Kluyveromyces lactis: one gene and its partner. The protein of the gene in region 1 interacts with the protein of each later gene in a pairwise test. Links are inferred from orthologs where the notes say so. Each region holds a gene or a part of one and is shown on either strand. Other genes may lie near its edges.

What was found.
Region 2: the proteins of ACK1 (region 1) and PEF1 interact in a two-hybrid assay, tested with the Saccharomyces cerevisiae proteins (2 studies listed by BioGRID). The link is inferred for Kluyveromyces lactis from reciprocal best matches to the Saccharomyces cerevisiae genes ACK1 and PEF1.

What each region holds. Positions count from the first base shown.
Region 1 is NC_006039.1:1,307,681-1,311,514, reverse strand, and holds ACK1 (Ack1p), read right to left. Parts: upstream 2,220-3,834; coding exon 705-2,219; downstream 1-704. Other genes in the region: COX20 (Cox20p), read left to right, coding at 2,905-3,462.
Region 2 is NC_006038.1:719,499-722,813, forward strand, and holds PEF1 (Pef1p), read right to left. Parts: upstream 1,743-3,315; coding exon 654-1,742; downstream 1-653. Other genes in the region: septin SPR3, read right to left, coding at 1-234; KLLA0_B08173g (40S ribosomal protein eS10), read right to left, coding at 2,756-3,076. UniProt on the Saccharomyces cerevisiae protein: Calcium-binding protein that is required for polar bud growth and cell wall abscission. Can also bind zinc ions.

The DNA of each region.
Region 1 (3,834 bases):
TGCAAGGGAAACCAATAAAAGAAGCTTTCTCACTCGCAAAGATATAGCCACTTCTAACAGGTAGAATCTTTTTAAATTTTTCTCTTCAGTGACGAAAGTGAAACCTGGTGTATCAAAGAATATTTTACTCTAGATTAGAGAAGCACTGAACCAAAACCAAAGGTGTATCTTAAGTTAAACCTGAAGCTCATCTCTTATTATATAATTATGAAAACATATCATATTATATCTTTTTTTGAGTTTTCAGTCATTTTTTCCTCAGTCATTTTCATTTTCAGGCAATATGAGAGGATTTTACCTTTGAAATGATTCCGACATTGCCAGTTCCGCAGAAGATATTGTAGGAAGACAGGGAAGGGAAAAGGGAAAAAAAGAAATGCTGGACTTAGGAGCTTTTCTTTTTGGAGGTTTTCAGCCAATAAGAGTAGAGGATGATGTGAGCGAAGCGAAGAGCTGTGGCAGTAATGCTGGCCCTGGCCCTGGACCTGGCAGTTGAAGCTGGGGATTGGCCTGGATGAGCATGGTTCGCTTAGCGGGAGCAAGTCCGAGTTTAAGCTATGTTGGTGTCGCTTCGCGACACCAACCACCGCCAGAAATTTAACTTCTAGAGAATACCAATAACTAACTACTCTAACCAAATCTTATTATTACATATCATTACAATGAAGCTAGCTACGCAGGACAGTAAAAATAAAACCGCAAGGTCACATTTTCCTCAAGGCCTCGATGGCTTTCGGATGGCCAAGACGAGCAGCAGTTTCGTGGTGTACCTTGGCCTCTTGTATGTTTGGCTGACATCCAAGGCCTTTCTCCAAGTAAAATGCTAATGCATACTCTGCTCTTGGTAATTTCCCGTCAGATAATTTCGAAGCACGTGACACCCACTTGAAGGCCTCTACGTCGTTCGGTTTCAATATCCCCTCAGCACCGGTAAGGTACCAGCCACTAAGTGCTACCATGGCTAACGGGTTTGGTTTGGTCTTGTTCATGGAACTCTTTGCGTACCATGCAATGGACTTCTTGGGTATTACAGGTAGTCCCATCTCCCCAAATTCATAAAAATGACCCAATTTGTATTGGGCTTGAGAATAATCGAAGTCATGGGCGCATCTATAATAGTATTTGATCGATTTTTCCTTATCTTGAGTGATTCCGTTTCTCAGAAGCTCTTGTCTAACGGATTCGTCTAACTCTTCAAATCCGTAAATCTTACCCAACTCAACCATCGCTTGTGGCGATACTGATTCCAGTTCTACATGAGCCTTATCGTCTCGTGGGATTTCGATCTCCTTGGTAGCCATTCTAAACCAGTATAAAGCTTGTACAGGGTCTCTTTTGATAACGATTTCACCAGATTTCGTTCTCAGTCCTTTCAAATAGAACATCCCGAGCTTGTACATGGATACAGAATGTCCATTGGTCAAAGCTGCCATTTCATAGTACTTCTGTGAAATCTTTAAAGCTTCGTATTCACTCACAGTTGTGTAATCTACTCCACGTCCGTACTCGTAGCTGACACTGGTCCGATACATGGCATCCTTATGACCCATATCGGCTGCTCTGCGATAGTAGTCTAGAGCTTTTGCATCATTCTTAGACACGATATCCATGGGCCTTGGAATATCTACGTAAGGGTGGTGGGAATAAAGTGTCCCTAATAGGTAGATCGCTGGTGAATAGTTTAACTGAGTTAGTTTCGTTAACACGCGTAACGCATGCTCTAAAATGGTCCTTTTATTCTGTAGCATTTCGGTCTCAGTTAAATCCCGTTTCAACTTTTCAGCATTGATATTGTATCTGATTAAGAAAGTGGGCTTGAACGCATATTGCAACAGTGTCTCGCACCATTTCAACTGGATATCCTTCGTAAACTTGTTTGCGTCCTTGACGGTTCTGTCATATGCTTCATAAAACGCGACAGCCTCGGAAGAGTAATTTGAAAGATCCCGTTCACTCTTAGCACTGCTAGGCGGGTTATCCACTTTGGGTATGCTGACTTGCTGCGCCGGTGGTGGTTGTCGTGATACTGGCGTCGTTACCGTTGACTGGGAGCTTTGTCTTGTATCTTTCTCATACATTTGGTATGGAATATTCGTATCTGCAACATGATTCTGGGGCAGATCATCAACCGGATATGGTGTATTCTTACTTGGCTCGTGACCTGGCGGGTACATGTTTATGTAGTTGCCATACGCGTTTCTTTGTCGGTTGTTATCCATTCTATTTCTCTCAAGAGAACGATTTACCAATGTCCTATCCTTTCTACGAATTTCTTCCGTGCAAACGCTTTCGAATCCAATACTACTTGCAGAGCAACTCACTTACCCACAGACTCAAGCTGATACCAGAGGGCAGTGTTTCCAGAAGCCTAGTTGAAATGCTTAACGGCCACTGTATTTTTGTTGCAACTCATCGTTTCAGATTAATTCAATTTACCATTATTTTACTGATTTTCAGAGTATCGGATTCTGTCGCCTTTTTTTCATTTCTACTGCGACAGTACATATGAATCGCAGAAAGCGACTTTTAAATATAGAACGGATAAATAAATGTACATATTGTGTCAGTTTAATATGTTCAAGACAAACTAGGAATGCATTTCCAGAGACTTGCTATAGTTTCACTGTTTAAAAAGTCACTTAGGTCAAGAATTTCCAAGTACCTTCTGATTTTATGATTAAATACTGACGCTTCCCAAATATTCCATATTTTTCAATTATTTTTCGGTTTGGAAAAAGTTGTGTCTGTAGGAAAACTGATTGACAAACTAAGATTATAAGATGAGATGATGCTAAAAGCGTTGACAAGTAAGCAGCAATTGAGATCTTCATTAAGCTAACCTAGGTAGCTGTCAAGTAATATAAACTCCCGTTGAATTGATATTTTAATATTCAGAGCGCAAACATGGTGTGGCCATTTTCTAAGAGTAAAACGCAAGAAGCAAGTACCGAGGTGGAAAGGAGTATATCAGAGGAACAGCAATTAACGAATTATGCTAAAGGACAGAAGTTTCTATTTGAGGATACAAAACCCAAATTCAATAATGAGTCCAGTAGTATGGCTGCTCGAGAGCAGGAACGTGCGTCTTTGAAAGAGGCATGGAATACGATAGACGTGAAAGATTTCAGTGTCGAAAAGGTACTGTCAATTCCATGTTTCAGAGACGCAGGGATCGGAGGGTTTACATCGATGTTTGTTGTCGGATCAGTGATGTTCTTGTACCATAAGAATCCTGCTCGTGCGGCAAATTGGGGTGTAGGAGGTTTCATACTTGGATCCATTGTAGGATGGGAGCAATGTCGCATGCGTCGTAGACGAAGCTTCCAAGTGGCAGCAATGGCCAAACAGACTGTTGCAGCAAAGGAGAAACCAATGCTGAAACAGGTTAAGAATATAGATACAGTCAAGAAGGAATGGGAAGAGGGCTCTAGAAACAGTAAACCTTGGTACAAATTTTGGTAGGTGCAAGACATGATATTGACTTACCACCACGTGACCTCGTATCTTTTTTACCCAACATAAGACGTCGTAGGCAATATTTTAGGCATGTAGAGTGAGAATGAATAATTCTTGATTCCTGGCACAATAGTACAGGACATCATTTAATGACATATACCGTTTATAATACCACTGCATACACCACTGCACATACCCCTGCAGACATTCCAATTTACCGCTAAAGAGCTGACTCGTTCTGACCGCAGATTGTCTTCGTATTGACAAATCAAGTGGTGAAAAATTTAGTAAGGCCTTAATAAAATGACTAACGAGAGCTATTTTGGACTAAGGTAATTTTTAAAAATTAATAATCGAAAGATCAGTGTTGAAATATCG
Region 2 (3,315 bases), on another chromosome or scaffold:
TTCTGTGGAATCAGCTTCGAACAATCGTCTAACCGAATCGAGCACCTCTTTTTTTTCTTGAGACTGCGGTTTCACTTCAGTACATTCTTCTTCAGGTTGCTCGTTAATGACTTCCAGGTTATCTGCATTCGAACCATATTTTGCTGGTCCATAGGAAATGGAATCATATTCAACACCAGTTGCTTCAATATAATGATCCATTGATGAACCCCAGCCATTCTTAGTTGAATTCATTGCTTTACCGTTCGAAGCCTCCTGGTAAACGTCAACAAATGTAACACTTCCACGATAAATCCAGTCACTGGGGGGTCAGTTCCTTGTTTTACTACTCTTATACTATTATAGATTTTTTTCTGTCGCTGGACACAAAAATCAAAAAAGTATTGAAATAGAAAAATTAGTACTTTATGTCACTACAGATATTTCATATGCCAGTGATTTTTTCTTGTTGCTCGAAGTGACTCTGCTCATCGCTCTAGTCTGAGGATGTAGTTTTTTTTTAGCTTCGAACGAGGGAACAAGCTAAGTGTCGCGATCTTCTTCAGCTGGATAATGAAAGTGTAGAATAATTAAAGATTAATAGAATATTTGTTATTCGATAGGAATTACGGTTCCTGGTGAATCTGCTTCACCATATAGTACATTTTTTAGAATTAATGTGGCAAGAATTTGCCTAAGTACAAAGTTAGATCTATGAAATCTTTGTATGCAATGGTTGCAGTCCCTTCTTGTTGCAAGTCATACTTACGGAAAACTTTGGTTAGTCGCATTAACCATACTAACGTTTCAACAAATCTATCAAACTTCATTTCTTTGTTTAGCCTTTGCTGGTCAAAGTATTCCGCATAGCATTCAAACAATTTCTCACTAACTTCAAAAGGAATTAGATATCCCAACGATTGGACAGCTTTATGAAACTCAGCCATCGTTAGCGTAAATGAGCCGTTGATATCGTTATCTACAAAACATTTTCTCCATTTTTTAACTCTCTTGTATAACGAAATGAATTCATTTAAGTTGACAGTACCAAATCTAGAGCCACCAAACAAGTTTATTAGTGATTCAATTGAACTTGTACAAAATTTCGACCCATCATCATTCTGTAACAAATTATGCAGTTCGTCTGCCGTGAGTCTGCCCATGTTTTTCAAGTCATGGTTGTTGAAAAGCTCGGTTGCGATTAAGTTATCTTGTTGTTCTTGTTGGGACTCTTGTGATGCTATAGAACCTGCGCTAGATGCGGCCAGTGGCTGATTTTTGCGATACTGTACTTGAGGTGCCGATGAAGACTGCATAGAGCGTGGTGGTGGAGGGTTTGGGGCCCTTATTGAGATATTTTGTGGTGAAGAATGCGGTACTGTTGCTACTGGATGACCTGCAGTTTGACTTTGATAGTAAACCTGTTGTGGTGGAGCATAAGTTGACATACTGGCGGAACTACCATTATGGGCAGGCATTTGAGCCATCACCCTGGAAGGTGCAGGTGGCTGTTCATAGCTCGGTACCCTTGGTTGAGATCTTTGTAGCCCAGGTCCTGCTCCGTGTTCGTAACCAGACATCATGGTTCTCTGCTGTGGCAGTTGTGATTGTTTTTGATAACTTGAATCCAGTGAGTATGACGAAGGTGCATGGTGAATGGATGGGTTCACAGGTACTGGCTGTTGTTGCAGCTTTGGATTGATACCATATTTCATCTGCCGGCGTCTTCTCTCTACCTCTTCTCTCCTTTTACCCTCTTTCATCGCTTCTTCTGGGGTCGCGTACAACTGTAATTATTAAGTGTTTAGGAATGGAAAGTTAGTGACAATGACATTATTATCGGGGGGGGGGGGGGGGGGGGGATGGGGAGCTCTTACCCTCATTAACCTTATAAGTACTTCAATCGATACATACTGGTAATTCATCTCCTCCGGAGTAATTTATTTTGTTTGGAGCCATGATAGGGTGATAAATCAGAATGCTACTATATTGAACAAAAATTCACAACATTCAGCTTCAAATTAGTATATGACTCGGGTTTTATCACTCTAATTAATGCTAAGATCTATCAGTGCTACTGTTATCCATTCACGAGAAATCAAACGGGATATATTTCATTCTAACAGCTCTTGTTTGCTAAGTGTGTTGTTGAAAGTTTATGTTTGGATTTATTTTTAATTTCCGAGATAACTACTGAATGAAAGAATGTCGAAAACCCTGACGATGAAAATATACAAAACGATCGGCAGCAGAGAGAGGAACCAAAAATAGCTTCTGTACAGGCTTGAAAAAAAACACCAGCTATATGTTGCTTTATGAGACTATAAAAGACAATATACAGTTACGTGAGAGTATGGATTATGTGAAGTTTTTTGGAGCAATGTAACGACACTGCAATAGACCCAAGAAAAATAGTAAAATGACAAAAGGATACTACTCCTCACATTTATAAGTATGTGATTTATAGTAATAATAATATTGGAAAATAAAAATGATATCATGTGCGATAATAACGTGTTAACCCATTTGAATATTGAATAAAGAACCGACAACTATGTTTGAGTAAATTTAAGAAAAAGGAATCCAAGGATATTCATTTCCTCAGGAAATGAATAACAACTGAGGTTCCACATCTTGCTCACTTGTACGACTTTATTGTAAATTAATACGAATCCAAACAGTTGACATTAACAACGTTTTACTGACAGTATGATGAGAAAATACGGGTAAAACACAACTTCCCCATCACACAAAGTCAGGCCATGTCTCAGTCAATTTAGTACTTCTTACCTTGTGGTCTTTGGTCACCAGATTGACCAGCCAAGTAAGTAGCTGGGAAGATGTGTTCTGGCAAGTTCAAGTACTCTCTCAAGTAAACTACACCTTCTTCAGTCAAGGTGTAGTAGTAGTATTGCCATGAGAATTGAGTCTTGACAAAACCCTTGGAAGTCAAAGATTGCAAAGCCTTGATGACAAACAAGTTCTTGGTGTCAATTTCTTCATGCTTTGGTTGGTTGAAGTCCTTCTTGGCAACCAAGACACCTTCTTGGAACAAGTGTTGGTAGATCTTCTTTCTGTCTTCCTTTGGAATTAACATTTTGTTCTGCTGTTGCTTACTTGATTGAACTTACTTTTCTCTGAAACAGGTTACAAAACACATAACATAAATTATAAAACAATAAGTAAGAACTAAATTGTACAAATGCTAATACCAATTATAAAACTAACTGTCAATAACCAAATGTAAGTTGTAATTCCTCTATAATTCATTGAAACTTTTCAAACATCGACAAAATCAAAAAAAAAAAAAAAAAAAATTGAACTGATCGTTAACGT